2 linked regions of the Stegostoma tigrinum genome follow. The protein of the gene in region 1 interacts with the protein of each later gene in a pairwise test. Links are inferred from orthologs where the notes say so. Each region holds a gene or a part of one and is shown in the gene's direction. Other genes may lie near its edges. The genes, in order: dachshund homolog 1-like and fgf12a.

The links.
Region 2: the proteins of dachshund homolog 1-like (region 1) and fgf12a interact in binary tests that used the Homo sapiens proteins (3 or more experiments, as listed by UniProt). The two-hybrid records come from large-scale screens. The link is inferred for Stegostoma tigrinum from reciprocal best matches to the Homo sapiens genes DACH1 and FGF12.

The regions. Positions count from the first base shown.
Region 1 is NC_081359.1:24,909,265-24,925,239, reverse strand, and holds the start of dachshund homolog 1-like, read left to right. Parts: upstream 1-9,937; 5' UTR 9,938-10,478; coding exon 10,479-11,110; exon of another isoform or gene 11,111-11,502; intron 11,503-12,714; exon of another isoform or gene 12,715-12,752; intron 12,753-15,975. UniProt on the Homo sapiens protein: Transcription factor that is involved in regulation of organogenesis. Seems to be a regulator of SIX1, SIX6 and probably SIX5.
Region 2 is NC_081367.1:58,734,360-58,749,834, forward strand, and holds the start of fgf12a (fibroblast growth factor 12a), read left to right. Parts: upstream 1-7,069; 5' UTR 7,070-7,665; coding exon 7,666-7,864; intron 7,865-15,475. UniProt on the Homo sapiens protein: Involved in nervous system development and function. Involved in the positive regulation of voltage-gated sodium channel activity. Promotes neuronal excitability by elevating the voltage dependence of neuronal sodium channel SCN8A fast inactivation.

The DNA.
Region 1 (15,975 bases):
CCTACCAACACCATTTGAGCAAGCTGCCAATTATTTTGTGGCTGCAGTGCAACTCTTTATATTCCCTCAATGTCTGCAAGGAAAAAAAAATTACAGTCTTAACAAAGTTACCTTTTTAAGACACAGTAGAAATTTCACCTTTAAGACTTACAAAATTGCCAGGATGTTTGGGTTGAGAAGTAAGCTCCTTGGCCATGTGTAACAGATTTATAAGATGTCAATCTTTTAGACGGATCATATGGGATGAGCCCTTTTAAAACTTTCTTGCTCTCTCTCTTTCCTGGGATTCTCTCAGTCTCCCAATTATCTGTTGCAATGAAAGAGTGCAAGGGAGAGTTAATAAATTCCCTGCTTTTCACTTTTGACAGCATTTACCATCATGCTTGTGTTTTTTAACAGTTGTGTTTTCAATACAATTTCTACTCATTCATGTTAAAAGCTTTATGAAGAAATAAACCACACAGGTAACCACAAAGAGCTTGTTTTACTATAGAATCACTCAAATGAAGTATAAAACTTCCTAAAAAAAGTCTTGTTCCCAATCCTGTGACATACAGACACACTATCATGCATGAGGGAAGAGTGTTGAAAGAGGTAAAACCTATAAGCAAATTAATTATACATTTAGAAGATTTTTTTGCAGTCTTGAAGGTTGTGAAGCTGAATGCTGGTTCTTCTGGAGTCAACCTCTTTAAAATTGCAGTCTATCACCTTCCTGAGTGGCTGCTATGGTATTTTTCTATTCTACATGCTAATAAGAGTGCTATTTTTAAATTATCTATCTCTGTGATGTATTCCAACTTGTAACTGAGATAGGGTCCGAGCTTGAAAAACACTGTGATTCCATCCTGCAGGCCTCCTTTAACGTCCTTCTGTAACCAACAGACAGACAAAGGGAAGTTTTGGTCATCTGATTGCTGACTGACAGCACAAAATAGGGACTAGCCATTATAGTGAAGGAGATCCAATCTCCTTTTGTCATAACTATCAAGATAGATTGGGGATTCTTCGGCATTCTTTTGCATAATATATTCTGGTTGTTTTTTTCATCTCTGGTAGTTTCTGCAGAATAGGTGACTGCTGCTTTACTGCCCTTTCTCTTTAACCAGAATTTCAAACAATGATAATGTACAATTCTATGGGGATTTTCCAGGTATGTATTCTATTTATCCATATTGCAGGCATTTAGAAATTCGGCTATCTTGTGGGTCAGGAGACCTCGGAAGCAATTTGAAAACATTGTCCTGTTTTATTTAAAATGGTGTTCTTTCAAATTAAAATCCTAGACATTAAATCAGTCAATGAGATTAAAGATTAATAGTCCGTATATTGCAACTTCATTATAACACAGCTTTTTTTATTGTCTTATGGGATGTGGGCATCGCTGGCTGGTCAGCTTTTACTGCTTGTCTCTAGTTGCCCTTGAAAAGGTTGTGACAAGCATTTCTTTTGGTGTGGATAGTTTTCATGTTTTTGTACCCTCTACTACATCATGTGCCATGCACTAATTTTGGTCTACTGTTGCTCATTTTTTGTAATTTGTTTTCCAGCAATACATTACAAATTATTTCCCAATTGCTGCTGGCAAAAAGTTTGCACTTCTGAAGAAATGAGAATGAAGGTTTTTTGGAGTGGGGAGAATTTCAAGTGCAATGCTAATTCAAAGGAGTAGGAAGTTGCTACAAAGGATAGGTACAATTATTCATGAGGGGTGGCCACATCAATAACAACCTGTTTTATTTCAAAATATACTTTAGTCAGAAAAGATATCCTTACACATATATATAGCCACAAATGCAGTTCAGTTCTGTACAGTAGCATATCAAATAAACAAGCAAACAGTGGAGTTTGACTCTATTCAAACAAACCAAACCCAAGACTTACTTTGACATTCCTCCTTCACATCTGCCTGAACATCTCAACAGCCAATTCATCTTTAATGCCTGTACCTCATAAGACACATTGACTGCACATTGATCAACACGTACAATGTGAATCCTGCAGGGATATTGAATGTTCATACACCACCTCATTCTCCCCACCTGTTTAGGAGACATGAATCACATAAGGCAGGGTGCAGAACATGAATATATCAATTAAATGGCAATGCCATACTTGCAAGGGACAGCCTTAAAAGGCATGCATTGGATGGACTCTTCATATTTCATTCGGTCCTGTTCTTTGAAAGAGTCATTTATGTTTGTTACTGGGCATTGGGGTTCCTAATCATAAATTCCAAAGCCAATAATAGCATGAAGAATTTACAGTGAATGAGTGTTCAGATAATGGACATAGTAAGATTATTGTGCACCTCAATGGCCAGTATTCTGAAGCCACCACAATATCAATGGAGGTTTGGAAGGAAGAGACATGACAGACAAGGTGATCAAAATAACAAGTAAATAAATCCAGAAGGAGTAAGAGAAAGTCATTATAATGATCTAATGATGTAGCAATTGCCAATAGTTATTGTTATCAGGTTCTGGAGATAGCAGTAATTCTGATACTCAACATGGTGTAAAACTATGAACCAGAAAGTGAACGGTATGATTAATTATTTAACTAGATTGCTTGACTATAAGTTGGAAGGTGCCCTACTCACCTTTCACAAGGCTGTGCTCAAATTTACAGAATCATACAGAAGAAAGACAGACCCTTTGGTCCAACTCATCTGTGCCAACCTGACATCCCAATTTGACCTAGCCCCATTTGCTACCATTTGGTCCATATCCCTCAAAACCCTTCCTATTCATATACCCATTCAGAAGCCTTTTAAATCTTGTAATTGTACTCACCTCCGTCACTTCCAAAGGCAACTCACTCCATATACACACCATCCTCTGTGTGAAAATGATACTCCTCAGGTCCTTTGTAAGGCTTTCCACTCTCACCTTAAACCTACCTCCCTTCTTCAGAAATGGGGTGAAGGGGGCTCAGAAGTAGAAAGAAGATGGTTGGGACAGGGGAAGGTAGGTGGGATGGTAATAGATGAGCGCAGGTAGCCAGTGGTAGGGATTGGTCGGTGAGTTGGAAGGAGCAAATGGTGGAAGAGATGTTGGACAAGTTGTGTCAGTTGTAAAATCCACATTTATGCCATTGGGCTGTAGGGTCCCACGGTGAAATATGAAGTGCTGTTCCTCCAGCTTTTGGGTGGCATCATTGTGACACTGGAGGAGGCCCAGGATGGACATGTCACCCAGCGGGTGGTTGGGGGAATTGAAACAGTTCGTGACCAGAAGGTGTGGTCATTTGTTGTGTACAGAGCACAACCTGTCCATCTTCCCTCCCACCTATCTGCTCCTCCCATCTCACTGACCAATACCCACCACTCCCTACCTGCACTCAACTATCACCAGCTCACCTAGCTTCCCCAGCCCCATTCATCCTCTCTCCATTTACTTCTGAGGTCCCAGCCCCTCGCCATTTATGAAGACAGGTCCTGATCCAAAACATCAGCTTTCCTGCTTGTCTTATGCTGCCTGGCCTGCTGTGTTCCTCCAGCTCCACACTGTGTTATCGTCAGACCATTCAGCCTCTTCATACAGCACAGAATTTCCAGTCCTGGCAACATTGTTGTAAATCCTTTCTGAACCCTCTCAGTTATAGCAACATCTTTCCACTAGAAGGACAGCCACAATTGTATGCAGTATTCCAAGCGTGGCCTCAGCAGTGTCCTGTACAGCTGCAACATGAAATCCCAACTGTGCATCTACATCCCCATAGTCACTTTTTTCAGCAACACTCCACAGGGCCCTACAATTAACTGTATAAGTCTTGCCCTGTTTTGTCTGATGAGATTGCAACACCTCACCTTCATCTAAATTAAACTCCATCTGCCACTCCTCAGCCCATGAGCCCATCTAATCCCATTGTACTCTGAGATAATCTTCTTCACTGTCTACAACAGCACCTATTTTGGTATCATTTGCAAATTTACTAGCCATGTCTCCTATATTCACATGCAATTCAAACGGCAATGCAGAAGGATGCAAACAAAGCACAGAGGTGAAATAAGGCTGATCCTTAATATCAAAGGATTACAGTGCAAGGCAACATTACCTTTGGTAAGAGACAACTGAGAGGAAACTGCTTGAAAATCTGCTTGCTATTGAATTTTACAGATAAAATAAAATTTTGTCCATCTATAATGTGATAAAACATCTCAAGGTATACACAGGAACGTTTACTGTACATAACTTGACTACAGTCAATATGAGGAAACATTAAGAGTCCAAGACCCTAGAACCAGGGTTCACAGTCTTAGGTTATGGGATAGGCCATAAATGGCCATGACGGTAATTAACCTTGAAATTATCTATCATAGAATACTGTGGAAGCCAAGTCACTGAATATATTCAAGAAAGAGATACATTATTTTTTAGTTGTTAACGGAATTAGGGGAAATGGGGAGAGCATGAGAAAATGGCATCAAGATACAGAATCAGTCATGATCATAATGAATGATTGAGTAGCCTCAAAGGGCCAAATGATCTACTCCTGCTTCTAGCTTCTATGAATCTAAAAAAAAGGTAAATTTTAAGGTGCATCTAAATGAAGAAAGGTGGACAGATTTAGTGAGAGACTTTTCTGAACTTAGGACCTGGGTAGCTGAAGGCTCAGACAGCTATGGTGGAGTTGAAGTTGAATAAATTGGGGATGTACAAAAGACTATTGCTGGACACACATGGAGGTCACAAAGACTCCAAGGACTGAAAGTCATTTTAGAGGTATGGAGTGGTGAAACTATGGAAGGATTTGAAAACAAGGAGTAGAATTTTAAAATGTAGGCATTGCTCGAACTTGTAATTAGAGGTCAATGAGAATAAGTGTGATGAATGAACAACACCTGCATTAACAGTTACACAGATGGGTTGGGAGATGAACAGCAGACCAGGCAGAACCAGAGGAATGTTTCAAAGTGTTGTAAAATAATAAAACAAGGAACCATTAGTTAAAATTAGTGGAGGCTAAACTAATGACATTGTTGAGACAGTTTCATGACTCACAAAGTGATGAGCCTTTGGAAAAATTAAGTCTTTGATTTGGGACAATGGCAGTGAAATTCTGGGATTTAATCATAAACTAGCAGGAACCTGACGAAAAATCTGTATTGTTACTTTGTGCTTGATCCATCCAAGATGAAACAAATATTTTTGTCCCCTGTACATCTCATTTTAACTCAACCAACTGGCTAAGCCCCAAATGAAATCATCGAGGGAAGAACCGTCACTAACCAAACCTATTTTATGTACTTTCCTTTTCTAAAGAAAACTGCGAATGTAACTTGCGTGCAAATACAATTGAAAGCACTTGAACGATTTTGCATACACGTTTTTTGTAAAATATTTGGTAAAAAGAACAATTATTACCTTTGTCCTATAGAGGTCGCTTTTATCTCATTATTTTGTTTCAGTCTGTCCTCAGAAAACAAACGGATAGCAAAAATATCCCGAATCGATTATTTTAGAAAAGCGCGCCTCGTAAATGATATTCGTTTCAAAAGTTTATTACCGTTTTCTGTTAAAAATGAGTTGTAAAAAGTAATAAAATATAAAAATGGGCAAAAAGTAATAACATTATTAAAAAAAACATTTTCCCAATAGATTATAAACTGGGAAGTCTAACGGGAATTTAAATCTTTAAAGTTGAGGTCTGGTAAACGTAAGAATGTTTTCATAATGAGAATATTGAAACGCAATTTTCTTCAACACACATGCAACAGATTAACACAAAGTGACACCTTTGCAGCCTCCAACGAAAAGAAATGGATCAATGTTAGTGTGTTAAGAGTGGATGCACTTTTCTAATAAATGCGCACTGACGAATGATAAAAGAAGAACTTTGTATAATCAAGAAGGTATTGTCGAAAGGCTGAGAGGTGATTTCAAACGCAGCAGAGCTGTGTTTAGTATGATTAATTCTCCAGAAAGGTCGCTTCGTTGCAAGACGAAAGCAAAATCGATAAACTCTCTCATGTTTGTTTACTGTTTTAATGCATTTGGATAGTACTTGGAAGTGTCTCACTTCCTTTCACAAAACACTAAGACGGAGCGTTTGGACTCTGAAGGCTGCGAAAGGAGACTCTCAGTATGCATTGAATACACTTTTTGTTTAAATCATTACAGTTTAGCAATGTTCCTGTCACTTGCAAAACTGTCCCTATTAATATGAGCATTGTTCCCTTTGCATAAAGAACGAGTCAGCATTAATTCGATTGCACTCTGCTGTGCAGCTTTATAACTCAAATATACGGACCTTGATCTTCAGAGCCTGTATTTGGCCAATAAAGAAACAGTTCAGTAGTGTGTTAAACAAAAGTCATTTTTATCCCGCGCCACTTGAAATCAGGCCGATTAAGATTCTGAAAATTGGCTGAAATGTTCAGAAACCTTTAGCGCACATTGTAAAAATCGTTCCTGGGAGTGTTTACGGGTCGTTCTTGCAATTCAAATGCAAATTAAAACCTTTCCATCCTTGAATGTCCAAGCCAGGGGGCTGCAATCAACCTCAGAAAGCACCGATTTTTAAAAAAAGTTTCTTTTGAAAACTTCTAGCCGTTTAGTTCGAACGATCTGTCCCGGTTATCGGCCTACTCCAGGATTAAGTCAGTTGCACCCAGGAACCGACATCACAGGGACAACATCACAGAGCTGCGTAAATAGCATTGGCAAACAAATAGGTAACAGTCCGCGGATGCAATTAGCTCAAAATGACCATGCATCATATTTACGTTGGAAATTAAATAAACCCTCCCTTTTTAAAAATAATAATAAAAGCGCACGATATAGTTTCCGCATTTAGTTCAATTCCTCGTTTCTCCTCTTTGCCTGTGTGTGTGTGTGTGTGTGTGTGTGTCACGTATGAATCATAGCTGTTCAGGGAGTTGCGGTAAATTTGAATATATCTGCTACCTAAGCAGCTGATGCATGCTGATGAAACTGACAAGCAACGACCAGATTCTTCAGGGACGTGTCGAGACAAGATGGACCTGCTCACAAAATGTGCCTTTTTTTTTATTTGTTCGCTCGCTGATCTGCCACAATGCAGGAGAGGAGCGAATTAACATGTTCTTTTCCTCCAGTCGCTTCCATTCAGTTTCTGTCTGGTGCCTTTGGAGCAATCACTTTTAAATCACTCTTAGTGTGCATTACGGGTTATTGGTTATTTGCAGTTTGCACTGTTTCCGTGAATCATTGATCAATTTAGCGATTTATTATCCAGTGTTTAATACACTGAGCCACATACTCGCGATGTGATTGGTTAATGTTTATTGCCTGTTCTGTCCCATATATAATGGCTACAAAGATTGTTAACAAATGCTGTACTTGGTCAATGGTTCGTGAATACATTTTGATCTCAAGAGAGGACCAAAATATTGTGTTACATGGGCCAATAGATAGCTGTGATTTACTTATTAATTAAAGATGAAAGGGATTTATTGACCGAAAATTCTTGCGCAGCGTCACTTAAAGGGATGGAGAATATGGTAGAACTGGAATTCCTGTTTCAGCAATAAAAGTGCGATGAAACCTCCATTAGGAGGAGCTTGTGGTGTGAATTTAAGTTTCGGGCAGTTTAGAATATCCGTTCAGTAAGCGCGTATCAACCCGGACTTAACCGTGTATACTGTAGGTGTCAGTACGAGTGTTTACAAAATATTTGACTTCCTCTGCTGGCTTAACCTCCTTCCTGAGTTCCTATCCGAGTCAGCATTAAGACCGTGCAGTCAACCTGATGTGTTTGGTACCTTTTACGGTAACCCAATAAATTTGAACTTGTGATCACGTAATCCTAGTGAAATTAGTGAGAGAGAGAGAGACGGTAGCAGTAGCAAACGGCAGCGGTCTCAGCCCGCATAATGCCGTCTCACTGGAGAAGTGTGTGTATTTGTGTTGGCGGGACAACTCCAAACAAGTCTGCGATCTTTCTGCACACTTTGGCTTCTCTCTCCAAGCCGCGTCTTTCCAATTTCTCGCCGCGTCTGAACTCATATTCTTCAAACGGCTTCTGATCCTGTAACAATTTACAGACAGAGTGACCCCGCAACCTGAGAATTGGGCACGGCTGAGCAGAAAAAAGCCGGATGATTTGTTAGATTTTGCGGGTTAATTGTGCGCGATTTTCGTTTTATTTACTGCTACTGCAGATTGTGAAACGTTGCCTGTTTGTCAGACCTGCTTCAGTCTTCATCTACATATATCTGCGGTCAAAGCGGCTGCTTTTTTTAAATATCCCTTCCATATGAATTGAAATGCAAGTTCTTGAAGCGCCCTGACTTCAATTAAAAGCAAACACAATTACACTGGGTCGTGCCTGGAATGCAAGTTCGACACTTGCATCTATTAATCATGAGATCCTGCTAGTCGCTATTTAAATGAATTTCAAGTTTGACTGTCAGCTGCTTTGGGAGCTAAGCCCTGTTTATTCACAGCTCCTAATCTCACATATGTAGCCCTCTATCTAAGGTCAAACACAATCGTTTTTAACGGGATAAACATAAACAAACTCTTCCCCCAAGCAACCAAACATGCCGTTATTAAAAGACTGTTTCTGGAAGTGTGTGGACCGGAGCTGAGGCTTGTTGGAAAAGGGGGGATATGTGCAACTCTGCTGACGGTCAGATCAGTACCGCAGGCGTGAAGCCCAGTTCTTGGAGATAGTAGCCTTTTCTTCACTAATGGAAATGAGGGCTCTCGATACCTTAAATTGTGACAATGTTGAATAAGCAATTTCTCCGGACCTCGGAGAATGTGCACTCGCCTCCCCCACCGCAAACCCCCATACTATATTGACAAATTTTACAAATCAGCTGTTTGCGCGTTCCTCCCGCTGCCCCCATGGAGATGAGAAACTGTGATTAGAACTCAGGATGTGTGAAAGGACGATAACAAAAGGACAAATTGAAGCCGTTGTTTCAGGGCCTCTGAATTTGAAATGATCTTATAGATCTGCTTTGCATCATGATCTGCCGCTTCCGCACTTAAAGGCTGGTCATTCTTTATGTCAAATTACAACGGTGTCAACCTTTTAAATAAAATGGGGAGGTGGGTAACTATCTTTCATTTAATGTGTTAATCTTTGCGCCAGGAGTAATAATTGTTCCCATGCACCGAGGAACACCAGCACTTTCCATGTCCCCTTAAAGGTCTTTGTGAATTTTTTGAAGGAGAAATAAAATAAAGGAAAAAGGGCACCCATGTGTCTTATTTAGTCAGTTTGTCGTTTCGTTTGCTAAAACTTCCCGTTCCTAACGTCTTTTCTTCCCCTGTAAGGATTTCAAGCAACTTTGGCGCACTCAGTCATAGCGTTTAAATTGAGTAATCTTAGCAGAATCAGAGAGCGGGCCCGCACAATGGATGTTATAAATTCGACCCCGCTGCTGCTAATCTCGTCTATGCTGTCTGATTCCTATTTTTGAATAGAATTCAGATTCGGGAATCGATCGTGTGTAGTTGTTCGCTCGATATGAGTGTGTGAGTTCGTGGTTAATATATCCCTTGGCTAAAGTAGAATTTCCCAGCTGGAGAGTCAGTGGTGTAAAAAGCTGACCTGGTGTGTTTTTAATAACTTTGGTATTTCTTGTTGTTTTCATATAAAATTAAAGAAGGCTGTCCGAGTCTGAACGCAGATTTTTCCAACTGCAGATGTAATCAACAAAATTGATTACCCTATTACTAAAAAAAAGAGTCGATGGAGCTGAATGAGTAAAATCATCTGACCGATACATATTGGTGGTTTGGAAGTGGCTAGAGTGCAGGATGTCTGGTAGGTCTCTGTAGGGACCCACATAAAAGACTTTGCTTTATAGAGGGAGGCATGTTGTGTATGGAATCTGATGTAGCTGCAAAGTTGATCTCTTGACTTTGAACAATGATGCTGACAATGTACTGAAGGATGGACTTGCATTAATTTATTGTGTGTGCGGCGGGGGGGGGGGGAGTGTGACGGGGCGTCTTCAGTTTAATTGGTATGGTTTTTTTTAAAGTAGGGGCAGGTTAATCGTGGTACTGCCTGGTTATCATGTTCTGCGGTGGGTGGATTTCTGCTGCCCTAAGTGAATGCTACTTGGCGAGTTGATCCCTCTGTGTTTCCACGAAATTGCGATGAACAGATCCGAGAAGTGACTTATTTGTAAACTCGGCCCGGCTCGGCTCTGCAACTCGTTCTCTCCTTGGCTGTGCGGAGCCAGAAGAAGCTGCTCGCTTGTCTCTCTCTCCCTCTCGGTGCGAGTGGATAGGGTGCTATTTGATTTATTCCTGGCTGGAAAGTTAATTGCTCCGCCCCCGGGATACCGTGTGACATGTCATTCCTCCTTTTGATGTTTATGTGTGTGTTATGTGTGTGTGTTTGTCCGACAGTCTTTCGCCTTCTCTCCGCTTCTCTCTACAAAAAAAACAATAATAACAACTTCAACGGCCGAGTGCAGGAGCCGAGATCAACTTTGATCAGTCACAAAACCCACCTTTTCTTTTAAATGAATGTGTGTTGATTCCTGTTCTGGTTCAAGAGGAGAAATACAGTGGGGATTTTTTTGTCTTTTTTTTCTTTTCCCCCAATTTTTCTATGTTCCAGCAACCATGGCCGTTCCGGTTGCACTGATCCCACCAGCTCCGGTGAATCAGACTCCAATCTCGACCCCTTCATCCTCCTCATCTTCCTCCTCTTCATCCTCCCCTGCAATCACTTCCTCGGCGGCCGGAGCTGCAGCGGGAGCAGGGCCAGGGACAGCGGGGACAGCACAGAGTTTATTCCGGGCGGACGGCGGCACGAAACCGGTTTACTCCACGCCGTCTCCGGTCGAGAACACGCCGCAGAACAACGAGTGCAGGATGGTGGAGCTGCGGGGGGCCAAGGTGGCCTCGTTCACCGTAGACGGACACGAGCTGATCTGCCTGCCCCAGGCCTTCGACCTCTTCCTCAAGCACCTGGTCGGCGGGCTGCACACCGTCTACACCAAGTTGAAGAGGCTGGATATAACGCCCGTGGTCTGCAATGTGGAGCAAGTGCGCATCCTGCGGGGCCTGGGCGCCATCCAGCCCGGGGTCAACCGCTGTAAACTCATCTCCAGGAAGGATTTCGAAATCCTCTACAACGACTGCACCAACGCCAGGTAAGAGAGAGAGAGAGAGAGAGGGAGTGTGTCCCGGGCCACACTATCGTCTGAGCGGGCAATGGTCATTGAGGCGGGGAGTGGGGTGGGGGAGGTTGACAGAGAAGCTCCTCGTGATGACCAGAGAGAGACCAACACGGCCATCCAGGGCACAATTCGGGCTCAGGGATACTGGACAATGAGTCCTCACCCTAACAACTCCCCGTAACTTGGCTTCCCTGGTAAATCTCTAGCCCTCCGCAGCAAACAACAAAAAAAGTTTAACTCTTACGTTCCTTAGCAGCAGAAATTTAAGTTCGGTTAAAGCGAGAACATTTTTTTTGAAACGCTGATAAATGTAACAGCTCTTTGTGCCCAGTTAAAAAAGACTAAAGATGAGTTGTTCCCCCAACTTCCTCTTCATTTCACTTCTCATTCCCCTCCTCATCCCTCCCCATCCTTCGTTCCTTATCTCCCCCCTTGCCCTCCCTCTTCATCTCCCCCATCTCACCGCCATCTCCCCTCTTTCTCTGATCACCCTTCCCCCATGTCAATACCCCATCTCCACTCTTTCTCTGATCATCCTTCCCCTTCCCGAGCCCTCTACCCTTGCACTCGCAGAGCCTTACAACTCCTTTTCCCACCCCTTCACACACGCATGCCCTTACCCCGTTAACTCACTTCAACCTCCAACCGGATAGTTTCAGTTTTAAGTTGCAAGTTTCCAAAGGTGAGTTCTCTCAAGTCCCAACCAACTCAACAGCTCTCGGGCAAAATCTCCCAAACTGTATGACATACCACAAACACCCAACGGTTCAAGCAACTCATTGGTAACGCGCCACCTGCTCGGTATCCCCTTGTTCCTGGTCGCCAATAACCTGTGCTGATGGCTAAAGTACCCTTGCTGGCGTGTGTGTGTCTCTGTGTGTGTGAGTACATTTGAAAACCTAGTTTCTTTATTCTGATTATATAAATCATCAACTGGAGCCCGCGCACCTCCCCTTTCTAATCCCACCTGCTGGTCCGAACGGAAAGTTTAGCCCTAAAATGAGGTGATCGGAGCCAATCCCACGAAAATAGCGCCCATGCCTTTGGTATGATCAGAAAGTGCATTCGGGCCACAGGTTTCGGCGCTTAGAGAGATAATCTTCCGCTGCAAGAGAATGCTTCGGCAAAAAAAAAACTGTTGTACGTAGGGCATGTTAATTGCACCCTGTTCTGGAGCTTTGCAATGTTCTCCCTTTCCATCTATTTGTATCGAGTTTAAAAGCAAATGACAATGTCTATCCCTATTTTGTTCTTTAAACGGAGCTTTAAGCTAACGCTTTATAGTATCTCTCACGTATCCCAAAACAAATTTCCGAACAGTTTCTTAGAGAGGGTATGTGTGTGTCTGCAACTTTCTTCCCCTTTAAGAACAGGCAACTTTTAACTTCTAAGAAAGTACTTTTTAGAGGAAAACTAGCGAATCGCAGTGGTGCATTTTGCAATAATAAGCGCTGAAATGTTTCCTGTAATGTTCTCTACATTTTCTCCTGTCCTCCTAAAAGGATTGTGTTTACCTAATGCTTGCACAATTACAAGTAACATCAGTTTCAAAGGAGATAAGGTGTAATTGACAATACCTTTTGTTCACTTTACGCCCATCTCCAACAGTAAGAGGCTTCCATGAATAAATGCTTAAACTAATAAAAAACCATTGAGTATACCCTCACTTGCATGATGTTATAAAATAACAAGCTGTACCAGATGGCTGCCAACAATTGTGCTTTTACACCACCCATTAATAGTTTTACTTTGATCTTTTTTTGCCTTAGAATATATGGCACATCACTGAGTTCTTATGTACAATGTGCTGTTTAATGATCCATATCAATTTTAAAGAAAGTTCTGGCTATATTAAATGTTGCAAGGGCAACATTCACAGCATCCACATTGATAACTATCTCTTTGCCCTCATCAGGTTTCTGTTGATCTAAAGTAATTAAACTACTTTAAAAAATATAGGCCAACTTTCAGTATTAAAGGAAAATTAGCATTAAAAATGATACTTTTCTATCTGTTGCCTATTATCACTAAACCTGATTTTTTTTTCATCTGAAGAACTTAGTAGTAAATTGGAACATGTTGGTGTCTTTCCTGACACAATGTAGTCTGGTATTCAGATGTATGATCTCATCCCATGGAATAGTTACTTTGAAATATGTTACCTTGATAACTCCTAGTTGAAAGATATCAGAGCTTTGTTGTAAGTACGGTTAAATAGATTATCGTTAGCCTATTTTGTTGAGAAGTTCACAATGATCTGTAGCTGCTGGAATATGGTTCCACAGGTTTTTAGAATGTGATTGTAAATATTCTTTTTGGAAAGAAAATGTTGTGTTAGCCTGTTTTAGAATCTTATCAAATCATAGCGCTTACACCCAAAGTTATGGCACTTGATCAGCCATCACTGTCACTTAATGCTCATTGGTGCATAAAGAGGTATTGAATCAATTTACCCTTCAGATAATCAAAGCGTTAACACAATGCAATGATGAAAGTGACTTCATAGTATACCATGGAGCAGGGATAGACTGTTTTGAAAATCATAACTTTACCCCCACCTCCTATTGACAAATGTTTATTTTTGTTAGATGTGTGATTTTAGTTTCTTTCATCACAGCTTAATCCTGTGATGGAGCATAAAATATTTACTGGCTGAATGGAGAATCTTTACACACTGCACAATTGCTGCATGCATTACTGTGTAGTAGGATGAGCTTTTCTTTAATGCAATAATATGGGATGTGACATATTGTATTGCACTGGCAAATATATATGTGATTTATGCAAATCTGAAACTATTCAACTGTTTTATAAAAGCAGAAGTTTTGTCTTGAAGATCATTAAATCTTTGCATAGTGGACTAGCTGTGCACAATTTTTAGTATTGTGCTCAAGCACCTTCTCAATATGGAATTAGTCTGCTTAATATTTTAATACATACCATTATTGTCTGTTACATATTTAACATGCAAAATCCCTTTTTAATCAGTTAGTTTTTTTATAAACAGGCTATAACATTTAATAGAAGATGCAAGATTCTACTTCATGAATCTTGTTCTATGAGAATACATGATACCATTGCTCAAATCCAGTATTCTGTGCACATTACTTGAATAGATGCATGCATAATCAAAAGTATCAATATGCTTGGATCATGTACATGAGCTTGAGCAGAATGCATAATATGTTATTTCACAAGTGAAGTAAGCTATACATTAGCAATATATTCACTACGTCCAGCAATAATACTTTCTTTAGTGTATATACCATGCTAGTTTTCTTGATAATAGTGGAATGATTTCTTGGGTCATTATACTATTATTACTGCTTGACTCCAATACACACATTTTCATTAAAATATTTAATTAGAACGATGACTTTTTTTGCTGAAAATGATCTCAACATACCCCTGATATATACAATAGACTTAAGGAAGCCAAGGATGTATCCACTGATTTTATCTCCTATTTCTATTTATAAGCACAAGGCTTGGAGTCTGTGTAGAACTTTAAATTTCCAAATGTGACATCTGAAACTCTTCAATGACTCATATTATGGAGGAACTATCCAGATTGACTGACAAATAAAGATTAGTTCCACATCATGTTTTGCAATTAAATAAATGCTACTGCTATCCATTATCATATGCCACATGATAAACCTATGTGTTGTGTATTACTTACAAAAATAGTATTGCACATCTTGAACAGAGATACACCAATTCCAAATCTACTTTTCAAATGTGTGCTTTTTCCCCTCCTTTAAAAGGTTTTCAAAAACTGCTCTGTGAGGGAAAAGCTGAACAATTTTAGTCAAAATCAAGTCTCAATGACAACAGCAAAATGTAGATTTCATGGTGCCAAAGTCTAAGTTAACACAAGTATAGGAGTTCCCCAACAAACAGTACAAGAAGCATTTCCATCAGAAATTCAGTGGAAGACTGAAGAGGCTTTGCATTGTAATTATCTGAAGCTTTACAGGTATATCTCGTAATTTGCAATCTACTTTGTGATTCCTTGCATTGTTAAGATGTCTTTGTACAAGGGAGAAATACAAATATGTTCTATTTGTGACATCTGTAGAAGAATCCTGAAGTGTGTAACCATTTCATGCTGACAAACCAGTTTATAATGGTTGAGGCAATAGGCTAGAACAGGCGTGAGTGAGAATATGCAACATTTTTCCAAAAATGTAACTCTATTCCCCATAGGTAACTTGTTCTCAGTCCAGCGTCTCACAATGAGGAAAAAAGAAGTAGGAAGAGGACTGTTGTGATAATAATGGCAGCGTTACTGAAAGGAGATGCCAAACTTTATATTGTCACTTGAATGTGGCAGAAACAGGGTTTTTTTAAATGAAATAGATACCAGAAGGGAAGATCCGTTTGTACAAAAAAAAGCCACAACTGACATTGGGAAGCAATTATGTCATAAGTTTGAATTACTGCTTACTTCTATGCACTGGAGTCTGATAGCAACAGTTGGATAAGGAAAATGCATACTTTTTAAAGGTTTAAGTAAAATGACAATTTGGAAAGTTGAAATTTCTTGGTAAGTAAAACTTACTGTATCTAAAATCTGAACCCGTGGACCATACAGGTTATCAACAGCTATAGTTTGTTAATGAAAACTATGGTACACTTTTGATACAAATGCTTATCATGCCAAGAAATATTCAAGCAGTTTGAAGGATTGCCTTGTATTGTAAGGACTTTTTTTAAAATAACGTTTTCTGTAATTACCCTTAAACTTGTCTGTGATTTCTGAAATAATCTGCTTTGTTTCTTTTGAGTCAGAAGAAAGCAATTGTTCCCAGAAAGCATGCTGGATGTCTTTAATG
Region 2 (15,475 bases), on another chromosome or scaffold:
AATCCAGATAAACGCAATCTCGTCCCTTCAATATTTTATAGATGGCAAGCACATCACTACCAAGTCAATGCTTCTTTGAGATTACCTGGGTAAGTGAGGTGTTTTGAATGAGAAATAAATCTTGCGGCCCACTTTACTCCCTTTTCAGAGCCTTAAGCTTGTTTGGAGACCAGTGAGGTGATTGTCATTGTTAGCAGCAATGCTCACTGCTGTCTATTGATCCTTAAATTCCTGGATAAAGACCGCTGCCAAACACTCGTTTAATGTAACTGCCATGCCTCTACTGCCCTTTCTAGTTTGCCTCTGAGCATATTTCAATGGTCCCATGAGGTGTTGATGGTTTTCTGATTCCTTGCAAGATGGAAAACCTTTGCCAGTTCCTGTCACAATTGTCCACAATTTTACTTTCTTTCTCATTTGTTGGATGTGAACATTGCTGGATTGGCCAGCATTGATTGACCATCACTTAAGATGCAGTACCCTCTGTAGTGTCATTGAACTTGATTTAAGATCTTACTTTCTCTTTGCTTATGATACGATTTGTTGTGCTTGATATTACACACTTTTAATTTGGAGTAAAAAGAAATTTGCACATCTTATTTGCCTTCAGACATAGCTAGTTAGCTGCTTTAGCTTCCATTTCTTGGATTTCTTCTTCTTATTTTAGGGATTTGCATGTTTTGGCTTATCCATGTACACTTGTCATTTACCTTTCAGTTCCCTCAGCATTGCACAGTTGATCTGTTCCAAAATTGTCTGCCCTTTTATTAAAGTTCATCCTTTTCCACTTTGTCATTGCCAGATTTCTGGTACTTTTGGTCCCCATTGAAATAGTCTAACATTGGGGTAATTATTTCCCAGATGTTCTCTCCCACAGGAGCACATTACCAATTTCACTCATTTATAACTCACGATTCCTGTTTGATATGATGGGCACAAAATCATTGCAGATTGATGGGTCAGGATGTCTTAACTGCAGCACATTTTGGTCAAGATTTGCAGCACAGGCTTCTATCTTTGTGAAGCTGTCTAGTCCAGAAACACTGGCTGTCCTTCTGACGTCTGCAGTGTTTGAAGGTGTCCCAGTTATAGGCACAGCCAAAAGTGACACATGCATTTCCTGTGATTTTGTATCTGAATTGTTATTGCCTAGACACGTGCTTTGAAATGCTGTGTTTTGTGGCGCTCAGACGCCCATTAGCTGAATGAGCAGGCATTGTAGTAGTCTGCCTGTTTCAGAACCTTTTAACTAACACATCTAACAGCTGGATTCTGTCACTGTCAGTCTGTCACCTTAGCATATTGTACATTGTAGGACACTGCTACATTGCCCCCTTCATAGATCACCCTGCATACTGTTCATTAAAAACCTGAACAGTTTTGATGGGTTCTGTTCTCTTCCACTTCTGTTCTCACCATACAATAGTTCAAGCTTTTACAAGAATCAGGTCTCAGGACATTCACATCACATGCAAATCATTAACTATGGACCAACAGATGCTGAATAACCTGGATCCAACGAGTTGAAAATGCGCATTTAGTTTTGTCTTCTCATCTCCCCATCTTCCTCTATCAAGCGCTGCTACTGAACTGATCAACGTTGTTTCCTGGTAGGAAGTCAGCCCATTAATCACAGGGCCTTTGAGATGGGATTTCTTCCAGATTTATCTCTCCTGATTTAGTCCTATATCAGAACACTTGGATCTGCGACTTCGAGAATTGAAATAAGTGGAAAATTGCTTTAAATTTTATAAGCAAACCCCAGAATGTACGTGGGACACATACAAGGTCCAATCATTAAAAGTTTGCAATACTCCTACATCTGGTGAACTGTTGGAAACAAATCTTAAATTATATCAGTAAGCAACATGCTCTGAAAGGCTTAGGTTGACTCAGTTGTTAACATTCCTGTATCTTAGTAGGAAGGGTTCATGTCTTATTGCATTATTAAAGAATGTAACCAATTCAGAGCGGTATTGAGAGAGTTGGGCTTCTGCCCTGCCCACCAATCAGATTAAATAGTCCTCCTTCAAGATTTTGGAGTAGATTAGTCCTCCTTTTCATCTAATGTTTGCAAGTAACTTGAGGTTTCCAAGAATAATAACTGTGACTACTTCAGAACTCATTCACTGTAATTGATTTAATTCAGGATGTTTTCAGGTTATAAGTACTGTACTCATATTTCTTAATTAAGGGGCAGTCTCATTTGAGATATTTAATGAGTGGAGGACTTACTCGATAGAAAGAAACCATTTTCCCTGGTGGGAAGAAATCCAGAACAAAGGGCACAAATATAAATTCAAGCTAGACTGTTTGGGGAGTGAAACAAGGGGGAGTGAAAATCTGGAACTTTTTTTCCTGCCATGCTGATAAGTTGGTGGTGGGGTGTTGGTCAGTTGAAAGTTTCAAAGCAATGATTGATTTGTTTTTGTTGGTCAAGGTTATTACAGGATAAGGAGCAAGAGCAGATAAATGGAGTTGAGGTCCAGATCATGCATGATTTAGTGAAATGGTGATATAAACTCAACATGCTGAAAGATCTCCTTCTGTTTTTAAACACTCAGGTGTTCTTTGAGTGAAAGCATATAGAGTCCACTGATGCAGTAAGGTTAGGGTCCTTTAGGGATCACTGCAGGGACTAGGGTGAATCCACTTCTCTGGTAATGATATAATGATTTAATTTTGGATTGTTTCTATTATCTGTTTTTAGTTTTTTATTTGTTCCAGTACCCTGCCTAATTTGTTTAAGCATTTTCTTTTAAAGAGTGGAAAGGGAGATTAGGTCCAGGCAGTGGACCATGTAGGGCATTGTTGCACCTGACTACCTGCCCCTATTCTGTGGTTACATGTGCAACCTGGTGTCCTTGGACAGAGAGCGTACAGTGCCCATCAGAACACTTCAGATCTTCTGCAACCAGTGGGCAACATGGGAGCTGGGGTGCATCATCCTCCCTGAAGTGATATTCTGCGTAAAAGCTGTGAAATTCCTTTGCCTCCTGGGGTTGTAAATTCTAATTTCATTGAATTTGGTAGTGGGTTTGTATTTTAAAATCTGCAGAAAGAAGAATTCATGGTAGCACTTAATCCCAATCACTATCCACCATTGTTGGTAACACAATGTAAGATAGTTAAAATGATAATTTTATTGGAAAGGGTTGAAGAGATTTTTTATTGAGTACTCGAGGTTTTTTTGGGGCTAATGGAATGAAGAGAGATTTCCTGTTAAATGCTCCAGTTTGTCAGCTTGCACTCAATCTTTCCTCTTTCAGAATCTGAGTTGCTAAGGAGCAGAAATGCTTCATTAAAGGTTGAGCAGGTGCCATTAAATCTCCAAACTTTCTTTGCTTAGTTTATTTTTTTAATTATTTAATCATTTTTCCTGATTAGTCTGTTCAGAGATGTTATTACACACCTCTGGAGTAGGTGGGACTTGAACCTGAGTCTCTCTGACCAGGGGAGGGATACTACCAGAAGAGCCCTTTTCTGCTTGGCTTGAGGTTCTGTAAAATCTTGTCAATTGAACCCAGTTTAGTGATGTTTTCCAGCATCTTGCAGTGTTTCTACATAACAATATGGGCTTGCATCCAGTCAAAGTATCTTTTCTAATATTAGGGAAAGTGTCTCGACCTCTTGGATCAAGCAAATTTCACAGGGAGCTTCTTGTCTGTGCCTCCCCCATTGCTGAAGATAATCAGCTGGTTTCAGTAAAATAAACTGTGAGGCTTTCAAATGAAATCAAATGCAAATGGTTCCCCTTGGAGATGAAAATCTGTTGCCCTTACCTCATGAGGGTCTCTGCGCAATACTAGACCTACACCATCATGGTTGACTTTAACTGCCTCTGGTGTGGCCTGGCAAGGCACCTCGTTTCATTAAAAGCAGCAATCCAGGATGGACAATAAACAGTAGATTTTCCAATGTTGCCCACGTCCTGAGAATGATTTTTTTAAATAAAAGGCCTGTGTGATTATCTATGCGTATGTGTGGGTGTCACATTCATACACAGATGGATTTGTAAACAACAACCCGTGAGTGCTGAGTGCTTGTTTGAATGCCTTTTAAAGTCTATTGTAGCAATTTTAGGTTGCTTGTCTCAAACTGATGGGTTTGGGTGAAATTTGGGTTTTCCACCCTCACTGAGTTCATTTTTCATTTTGAGTAGGGAATAATTTCAGAGGGAGACTGAAACGGGTGTTCCTCCTGATCCCTTGGTTTTCCTACCCAGCCAATAAGATCAAGCGTAGCTCCATCTGACTCCCCGTTTGAGACATTCTAAGTTCAGATATCAGGGATATATGATGTATGCCCAGGTGAATATATTTTTTCAGACAGTAAATAGCTAAGCATGCTTATTGTAAATGCCTTTGTAATTCTTTCTATGTAAAACTCTTTGACAATATATTCCTATATCGGTGTATTGTGTGGATGATAAATGCTGGCATAGACTATCTGGGCTAAATGGCTTGTTTCTGTGCTATCACATTCTGCGTTTCCAACTGCATTTGTTTCTCAGATTTTTGTGGCTGTAAATCTCCACACTTTGCTTCTTTCTTACTGTATGGGTTACGGCTGTTGCTGGCAACACCAGCATTTGTTGCCCATCCTTAGAATTGATTGGCTGTCTAGACCATTTCAGAGAAGACACAACATTGCTATGTGTTCGAGTCATTTGTAGATCTGACTGGGTGAGAATGGCAGATTTCCTTCCCTGAAGGACATTAGTGACAGGATGGGTTTTCAACAACAATCAACAGTGGTCTCATGGTCACCGTTGCACCAAGGTGGGATTTCAATCTATCCCCTAAAACATTAGCCTGGGGCTCAGGGTTATTGGCTAGCAACATTACCAGTACCCCAATTCCTTCCCTTAAGTGTGCACATCCTCTGTACATCTCTGCAATGTGCATCACCTCTGCAGTGTGCGTCTGTGTGTACGTATGAAATGGGAAGACGAGGCCACATTATATGTCAAATCTGCTCTGCTATTCAAGTTGAACATCTTGATGATGTGCTGCCTCAATTCCAGCTTCCCGCTTGTTTTCTGTATGACTCTAATCCCTGCCAGACCAGAGCTCTATCTCAATCTTAAATATGCTCAATGACAAAGCTTCCACAGCCCTGAACTGCAAAGACTCTCAACCCTCTCAGTGAGGTCTCTATGTCTCACTATAGGAATAGGAGTAGACCATCTAACCCATTCTAGATCATGGCTGATCATCATTTCAATGCGACTCTCCTGTGCTGTCCCCTCTCAATATCCTTAGTTTTCAAAAATCTATTACTTTCTGCCATAAACACACTCAGTGACTGAGATCTCGTAGCCCTCTGGAGTAGAGACTTCCAAAGGTTCACAAGCCTCTGAGTGAAGAAACTCTCCCTCATCTCAGTCTGTCCCTTATCCTGAGATTGTGTTACCACTTCTAGAGCTGTCACCATTTACCCTGTAAGAAATTTGTAAGGTTCAATCAGATCACCTCGTTATTTAAAGCTTGAGAGAATACAGGCCTAGATTCCTCTCCTCGTAAAATAATACCAACATACCAAGGATTAATCTGGTAAATCTCCGTTGCACTTTGTTTATAGCAGGTATATCCTTCCTTCAACAAGGCAAAGTACACAATACTTTGTCGAGACTCAATACAACAGCAGAAAGACATCTTTTTGGTTTCAGTGCTCAAGTCCCTTTGTGATGAGAGCCAGTGCACCATTTATCTTCCAAATTGCTTGTTGACATGCATGCTAGCTTCTAGTGACTCATGACCAGTGACACCCAGATCCCTTTGGACACCTGCACCTCACAATGGTCCAGCATTTCAGAAACAATCTGTCTTTCTGTTTTGTTCTGCCAAGTGTATAATTTGACATGTAATCATATTATATTCCATTTACCATGTTGTACTCTATTCATCCAGTCTGCTGAAGTGCTATTGAAGCCTCCTGTGTCCTCTTCACAACTTCCATTCTTATTTAGTTCTGTATCATCAGCAAATTATTACCATTGATATCCATGTTCTTGTGTATCTGTGTAGGCTGTGTGTGAATACAGTGTGCCTGTGTACAATATGCAGTGCGCCTGTGTACTTTCCCTATATACAGTATGTCTGTATCAGCTCTGTGTATGATTTTGTGTATATTGTGTTTGCCCCTGTATGCTTCATGTGTTTCTGTGCACATCTATATGTCTGTGTGCGTTATATCGTGTGTTTCGGATCACCTTCTGTCATGTCAGTGTATACTGTATATTGTGTATGTTTGTGTGCATATTTTTGTACCTGTACAATGTATATTGTTCTGTGAACTCTGTTGTGCGTGATTTTGTGTACACTGTTGTCTCTGTGTCCACTCTGTGTTTCTGTGTACTCTGTATGTGCTGTGTTTCTGTGTCCACTCTATTTTGTGTGTCTTTCTGTGAACACTGCATTGTGTGTGTGTTTCCGTGAACACTGCATTTTCTATGTTTCTGTGTATATTTCGCGTGTGCGCTCTATTTTGTGTGCATTTCTGTTTATACTGAAATTTGTGTGTTCCTGTGAATACTGTATTTTGACTGTGTTTCTGTGAACACTTTTGTGTGTTTCCGTGAATATTTCGCGTGTGCATTCTATTTTGTGTGTGTTTCTGTGTGTACTGAATGTTATGTGTGTTTCTGTGAATACAGTATTTTGTGGGTGCTTCTGTGAACACTGTGAGGTTTACGAGGGGAAGGATCGATTCGGATAGTCGAGGAGCATGTGTTTGCAGCCGCAGTTCCTCTCTCTTCCTCTTGGCACTGCCTCGATTTACAAGCTTCATCCAAATCTCACTCACGTACAATTGCGTAGCAGTTTGGGAGAAGCTGCACAAGCGACAGGAGGATCGGAGAGTGACCCAGTGCTGCACCTTTCCTGCTCCGGGAATTGAGAAGCCGGCGCTCCATGTGGAGCAGCTTCGGGAGATATCCCTGGACCTGGTGCCAAGTTGGAAACTGCCTGACCCTCTCTGACGTGTCATTTTCTCTCTGGGAGAGACGGGGTGGGGGGGGGGGGGGGGGGTGGTCTGTAGGTGGAAGCTGCTGCCGCTGAGTCCGAGGAGGACGAGAAGTTCCAGCTCGGGCTGATCACTGGGAACAGGAGCTGGAGGAGGGTGGGTCAGTTGCGGGGGGTGTTCCGAGAGAGATGGTCTGGTTAAGAAGTGCCTGGGAGACTGTGCGAAACCGTATAGAATCAGCGTGCTCGCCGTCCCGCCGCTGTTTAAACCCGAACTGCTAGAAGCAAGGACAGCTGAGAGCAGAGCCACGAGCTTGGACTTGCCTTTTTGCCTGGAATTAACAGCGACGTTTACCTACTGGACTTTTCACAGGGAGAGAGAGAGCGGGGCACTTTTTCTGTCTTGTCTTCAAGGGAAGTCCGTGTGAAGCTTAGAACAGGAGCGCCTCAAAGCTGGGATCTTCCTATTCTTCAGCCCGCTCCTTGCTTAGGGGTCGAGGATGTCCCTGGTGTCCGGGGGGAGGGAGCTGGGAGATCCCTGATGTTTTGACTTGACCCCCTCCTCCCAGCTTTCGTTTTCTTTGAAGAGGGCAGCTTGCCTTCTCGATGTTCTGTTAATTTGCACTCTTGACCCGGGCTTGATTCTGTTCTCGTAATTCCCCCCCTCTCTCTGGTGAATGCTGCCCCCCCAGGCTGGGATATGGCAGCTGCTCTTGCCAGCTCCCTGATCCGGCAGAAGCGGCAGGCGAGAGAGAACAACACCGACCGAGTGTCAGCAACCAAGCGGAGGAGCAGCCCCAACAAAGCCAAGAAGTCCTTGTGTGAGAGACACGGCCTCGGGGTCTTCTCCAAAGTCAGGTTCTGTAGTGGCAAAAAGAGACCAGTCAGGAAGAGAGCAGGTTAGTGTTAACTCTTCCTCTGCTGCCAGCCGCTGGCCACCCTTGTTCACAATTCTCTTCAATTCCCTGCGTGTTTCCAATTTAAACTCTTGTTGGCGACTATTCTCCAAAGTACATGTGCTGGCCTCAAGTTAGCTAATGGTGTGTCTGTGTGGGTGACTGTGTGGGTGGATGCCTATGTGTGTGTGGGTGGGTGACTGTGTGTGTGGGGGGGGCGGGCGGACACACACACACTCACACACACACACACACACACACACTCACACACACACACACACACACACACACACACTTATGAGCTTCCAAGCTCAAAACATCTCTTTCTTTCTTTCTCTTTTCTTTCCTCCCCCTTGCACACATTTGCGCTCTCTCCTTCTCTCTTACAAGCATACACACACAGTCTCACTTTCTCCCTACTCTCCCTGACACACTTTCATAATCTTTCTTATGATCCCCCCACTCCGCACCTCTCTTCCTCCTCCCTCCCTCTCTCCTCCCCTTCCCATCTCTCCCCCTTCCCATCTCTCCCCCTTCCCATCTCTCCCCCCTCCCATCTCTCCCCCTCCCATCTCTCCCCCTTCCCATCTCTCTCCCCCTTCCCTTCTCTCTCCCCCTTCCCATCTCTCTTCACCCACTCCCCATTCCCCTCCTTGCTGCTCCCCTGTGCCCTCACTCCGTTCCCTCTTCCTCTTCCCTCCCTTTCCTCCTCCCCATCCTCCCCCTCTCTCCCTTTGCCTCTCCCCTCCTCTTTGATCTCCCCCCTCTTCTACCCCTCCCTATTTTCTCCTACCTCTCTCCACCCTACCTTCCGACCCTCTCGTCCCGTCCCCCCCATTCTCGCACTCTCTCTCATGTATGGAGTCACTTTCTCTCTCTCTTTCTCTCACACATACACTCATACACTGCTAGGCAGCATCCACTGCGCGCAGTGCCTCTGCTCTCACTGCCTGTGCTGCAATGGAACTGAGACTGAATCACATTCGACAGGAATAGACAGTAACCAGCAGAAGTCTCGCACGTTGTGCCAGCATTTGTATTGTGTGCTGTAACGGACTCACATCTGGCCCATTTATGCCTTTGTATATGTTTAACATTGCTTTGGAACCTTATTTCACATTATTCAGTTGTCCTGGGCGCTAGATGAATATCAGGGTGCAGCTTGTGTATTTAACTTGTGTGGATCGTGCTTCTGAGGGTGTTGACTGCATAAATTTAATTTGGTGGGGAGGTGGGGGGTTGAATAGTAGATCGGAGCTGCAGGATGGAAGAACTTGCAATGATGTCTTGATACACAGCCACTAGGGAATGTTTGATTGTTTGAGAGGGTAAATGTTGCTTGTCATGTATTGGGTGACAGTTGCTTGCGATCGCTGACTTGTCACGCCTCAGTTGTAAAGCAATCCTGCTGTTTGCATGCTTCAGTACAGGGTTTTAAACTTCACACAGGTTGATGTATGTGTGTATGATCATCTGGTGTCCGTGTGTGTGTCTGACTCTGTGCGTATATCTATCTCCATCTGATGTGTATATCTGCCTCTGTGTGTATGTCTGAGTGTGTCTATCTCTGTCCATTGTGTGTGTGTGTGTTCGTATGAACATGTCTGTCTCTGTGTATGTATGTCTCAGTGTGTGTGCCTGTCACTATATGTATGTCTGCCTCTATGTATCTCTGTGTATATGTGTATGTCCGAGTGTGTGTCTGTGTATATGCCACGATGTGTTCCCATTCAAACTAATACCAGATGTCCCTCTTCCTTGTCTAGTTGTGCAGAGGGATGTGCGTCTTGCAATATTCATCTCAGCCCCTCCACAATCTGCAAGCCCCACTCTGTTTCTCCGTTGTTTGGGATTTGATCCCTTTTTCTTTTTGAAAAATTACGGATCGAATGCTGGGGTTTCAGGTCACTTTCCGTCATTATAGAGGCAAAGCAGTGAAAATATGAAAGACGGAAATGCTGTAAATACTCAGTGGATCTGGTAATATCGGTAAAGAGAAACAAAAACATTTCTGGTCAATGAACATTCACACAGGTATGATTCCATTTTGATGAAAGATCATTGACGTGAAATGTTAATTAACTCTCTTTTGTTCTGCACATATTTGCGACTAATTGTTTCCTGTTCTCACGTCCGGGGAGCGGGATGATGCACTCCACTGGTTAAAATCAACTTCTCTAGGCAGACTGCAGAATGAGAATCGTGCTCGGGTCTTGTGGACAAGAAAAATTAATATCAAGAATATAAAAAAGGGAATCAGGGTAGATGGATTACTTGCCATAGACTTAGTACATCTACGACAGCTATAATCTGCTTTTGTGAAGAGCAATTTGTTGTGGCTCAATGCCTCATTGTGTAAAATTGCTCTGATTTTCAGATTGATCTGTTGTCAACTGCCACAGAAACTGACCACATGGTGTCGACTTTGTCCCTGGGCATGTGAGACAGTGCCCTGATATCCCCCCGCCCCCCCCCCCCCCCCCCACCATCGTCATTTGCTAGCTTATTGATTTCATCGCTATTGCTATTTAGAACTAACAACAAATTACATTTGTGTAGCGTCGTTAATGCATCAAAGTATTACAGTATGCTTTTTAAGGAGATAATCAAATAAATATTGACATTGACCCCCATAGTGTGATATTATGTCAGATGTGTAAAAGTTAGGTTAGAGAGTGAGGGTCGCAGTGATGCAATCTTAAAGGAGGAGAGGGGAATTCTAGCTCAGAATAATGTTGAGCAAGAGGCCAGAGCTTTAGAGACACTGAGATCTTGGAGGATAAAGAGTTGGAACAAGTTACAGAGATGGGGAGGTTTGGAGCAATTTGAAAGCAAGGATGGAAGCTTTAAATAAAAACTGACAGTGCTGCAGAAACTCAGTAGACCTGGAAGCATCTTTAGAGAGAGAAACAGTTAATGCTTCGATTCCAGTATGGCTCTTTGAAATCCATGTTCATTGCATGATGGAGCCACACAGATCGTTGAACATGTGCTGGTGGTGCTGGGAGTAAGGATTGTGTGCTAGGATACAAGATAAGGTGTGTTAGATGAACTGAAGATTCTGGATGTTGGAGGATGGAAGGCCAGTCAGGAGAGCATTGGAATGCTTGAGACTGGAGGATGGAGTCATAGATATGCACATCACGGGAACAGAACCTTCTGTCCAACTCGTCCATGTCGACCAGATAACATAAATGAATCTAGATCCATTTGCCACCATTTGTCCTATATCCTTTTCAACCCTTCCTGTTCAAGTACCCATCCAGATGCCTTTTAAATGTTGTAGCTGTATCAGTCTCTTCCCCTGGCAACTCATTCCATACACACACCACCCACTGTGTGAAAAAGATGCCCCTTTGGTCCCTTTTATATCTTTCTCCTCTCACTTTAAACCTAAGCCCTCACGTTTTGGACTCCACTACCCTGGTAAAAAAAAAGACCTTAGCTCTTCACCCCATCCATGTACCCTAACATCTCCACAGTCACCCTTCAGTCTCGGACTCTCCAGGGAAAATAGTCCCAGCTAATGCAGCCTTTCCCTACAGTGCAAAATCTCCAGCCTCAACAACATCCTTGTCAACTTTTTTTCTGCACTCTTTCTACTTCAACATATTTTCTGTAGCTGGGAGACCAGAATTGAACCTAGTGTAAGATGGTCATCGTGGTACAATGGGCAGGAATATTCAGAAAGGCCTATGGACAAAGGGGAGAGCTGACCAGGAAGCAAATGCGGGGTACACTACACCCATTATAACAAAGTGTGAAGCTGGATGAACACAGCAGGCCAAGCAGCATCAGAGGAGCAGGAAAGCTGATGTTTCAGGTCTGGACTCCTCTTCAGAAAAGATTTCCTGCTCCTCTGAGGCTGCTTGGCCTGCTGCGTTCATCCAGCTCTACGCCTTGTTATCTCAGACTCCAACATCAGCAGTTCCTACTGTCTCCAATTCTAGTGTGAGTTGTGTTTGGCTGTAAAAGGGAAAGCTGCACAACAATATCCAGTGAGATAAGACCCACAGAACGCCACTGAAACCTGTAAGTGTTTACTATAATTGTAACTGTGAGAGTTCTTCATGCTACATTGTGCAACCTCATAGACTCGGGAATGGTGGCCAATCTCGGTGTAAATTACGAACTTCGTAGTCATGTTTGGAACGTAGTGGTGAAAACATTCGCTTCTCCTCATCTCAGGATGCCCACAAGTTCCCTGCATTACTAATTGCGAGGATAGTCACTGCTAGAATGTAGGACCTGTGGAAGCCAACGTGGGCATGGTGAGATCCCATGAACTGCAGTGAGGCAATTAATCAAACTGTGCGTTCAAAATTTGGGGTTTAAATGGGGGATAACTATTGGTCAGGAGAGTGTAGAACACACCGCTGCTCTGTCATGCGTTGTGTTGTCAGATCTTCCGCAACCAGCAGCAAACGAAAGGTGATTCATTTTTGTAGTACCTTGTGTTGTTGTTGCTGATATTCTGGCGCAAACCATCATCATGCAGGGGAGAGGGAGGGAGAGGAGGACAGCCACCAAAATTGACTCGACCCTGTTCTCTTTATTTTTTGTTTGTGCTCGATTCGCCTTGAATATTAATCTGAGCATGATCATGCTGATTTTCACTGTATTTTCACTTACATGTGACTGACCCAAGACGAATTGGTACGATCCGGCACCCAGAAACCAGAACTGAGGCCATTCTGGGGGTTCGTAATACAGCATTGTTGGTTGGGCTAACTGGGAAACTGAGTCAGTTTTCTGAGGTTCTCCTGGGTCCAGTCACTTTCCTAGGGCCAGCCTAACAGGGGCAATCTGTTGATGATTGATAAGGAGTGATCTAACACATTCAGGCTTGATCAATCGATCTTACCACCCGTCACCCTGCCCCTGCTCTGCTTTTATTTTTGCTTCAGTTTCAGGGGTTCACAAGAAAGGGAAGTGTTGAATGTGAAGAACATGATACCAATGCTTTCTCTGCTGAGCTGGCTATTGGCTGCATCTACCTTGCTATCAGTTTACTTTCCGGGCTTATCCCGGGATAACTAAAGGCAGTTTATTCATAATTTTATGAATTCACCTTTCCTGCATACTGCTCATGTTTTGGCTGATGTCCCATTATCGTTCTCAGAATAGATGATCCCTCTGAAGACACGGCACCATTTTCCAATTTAGCAGAAAATGTTTTTTAAGACAGAATTCACCCAGGCTAGGAACACAGTGCAACTCGCATTAATAATTTATTAAGACCATTTATTTTTTATAAAGCGGACGATTCCTGTCTGATATTGTCCAAATCTTAATATTCTCAAAAGCTGCTTCACAAAAGTCCAGAAGAAATTAATTCTAGAAGAAGACTGAATGTCTTCTCGGTAAACTGGGGACAGCCCTGTTCGAGACAATGTTGAATTGAGAAGAAAATTTAAAGAAAACGGAAAGAACTGCGGATGCAGGTAATGAGAAAGGGTCACCGGACCCGAAACGTTAGCTCTGTTTTTACTTTCACCAATGCTGCCAGACCTGCTAAGCTTTTCTAACAACTTTGTTTTTGTTCAAGAAAAATTGAACTGGTGAAGGGCAGAGAAATGAAACCCCAATTTAACACTGGCGACCCTCGCAGGATTCACTCTGATTGTGATTGGTGGATTCTTGTGAGTCAGTGTTGATATGACGATAACATTGCCTGGATTCAACTTTTTCTTTGATTGGTGAAAGCTGGAATCACTCTCACTGTGATTGGTGGAATTCCAGCGTCTAATGTCACTGTGATTGGTGCAGCCTCTGGATTCACTTGTTATGATTGGTGGAGATATCTTTATCCTCCGACGATCCTTCGCTCAATTAGGTACAGTCTTTCTGTCATTCCTGCAGTGAAAACTATTAGCATCATTAATCCAGATTCAGCAAATGTTTCTGATCTGATTTTCCCGTTTAAGACCTGGATCAGTTTCATTTCCTTCAAGTCATCTGAGGGAAAACATTCATTTTCCTTCATCTGCCTGGTGTTTTGAACTCTTGGTCTTTTATAGGAAATTACATGGTCTTGATGGGGATGGGAGTAAATATGTGATACATAAGCGCTGGCAGGTTATGAGTCACACCAGAGAAACAAGTGGATCTTTTTCTACAAGTAATTTGTTCATATATTCACTTGCCCCTCAGCTGTTCTGTTTGGAGTTGTTCACCGTTTGCAATTGAGAATCTTGAAGGGTATTCCTGTTCATGGCCTTTCTGTCACTCACATAGGTTTTGACACAATGGATTATCTCTGCCATACCCAGCATCTTTTAAAAGCTTGACGCTTCAATAAGCACCCAGATATGTGAGCTGAGATGACTTTCCGTATGAATTTGCCTATCTGCTTAAAGAATTCCTGAAGTTTGGATGGGTTCACTGACTGGAATTGAGTGACAAAGTTTTCCCCTGCCATTTGTTCCTTGGAGCACCCTGAACCCACAGTGGGGACAGATGGCTGCCCAGCTGATCCTTTAAAGTCCAAAAGCAATTGCAATCATTACTCTTGGGAGTTGGCAAAGCTGGCATCTCTTTCCGAAACCTTGTCACAGCAAATTGATGGCTGGGGGCAAAGCAGTGGAATGAATGATTATTCCTAGTAGTTACTAAGGAGGAGCATAAATTTTAGTGCTTATCTTGAAACACAATGAGATGAGATTAGAAGGACGCTGCATCAGTACGGACCTCTGTTACAGAATGGTGTAGCAATGTCTGACGGACAATAACAGTTTCCTTACACTCCAGCAGCAATGTACTCTCAAACTTACAGGAGCTTTTTAAAACAGAAGTAAGCAGTTTAGAGTCACTGTTGCCCATCATTAGCAGACAAAGTTTGAATGCATTTGTTTGTTTTAAAATAACTAGGTTCTGTGCAAAATATTTAAAACATATTGTAAGAGCATTCTGTCCAATTCTGTGCAGCACACCTTCAGAAGGTCCCCATGAAAATTATACAGACGAGATTTATTAAGATGCTACCAAGTATAGGGGACTTTGATTGTGAGGAGAGCCCAGAAAGAAATGAGAAGTAAGTGATCTCCCATTCAAGACAGAGATGAGTAAAATTTCTTTTCTCAGAGGGTATTGAGTCGTTCATAAAAGGCAGCAAACACAGCATCTTGATATTTTTAAAGATAGAAGTGGACTGATTCTTGGTAATTAAGGGGTGAAAGATTTTTGGATGGTTGAGAATGTGAGTAATTCAAATCAGCCATGATCTTGTTGAATGTTAAGCCAGGTGCAGGGGGCCAGGAATTTGAGTGTACAAATAATTATGCTGAGCATCAATTGTCTTTTTGTCAGCCAGACTAATTCCAAACAGAAAATGCCAGAACCACGCAGCAGGTCAGGAAGCATTGAGAGAGAAACAAAGTTTTGCTGATCTACTCCAGCCTTCACAACCTTCCAAAATCTCTACATTCTTCTATCTCTGGCTTCTCTAGTTTTAAACATTTTCCCAATGGGGATTGTCCCTTTAGTTCCCTGACCCATACTTTTGGAAATTCTCTCTAAACCTCTCCCTTCTCTTTAAGACCTTACTTAGAACCTATATTTCTTGAGCAAGCTTTCAGTCATATGCCCTATCATCTCCATATATTGCTCAGTGTC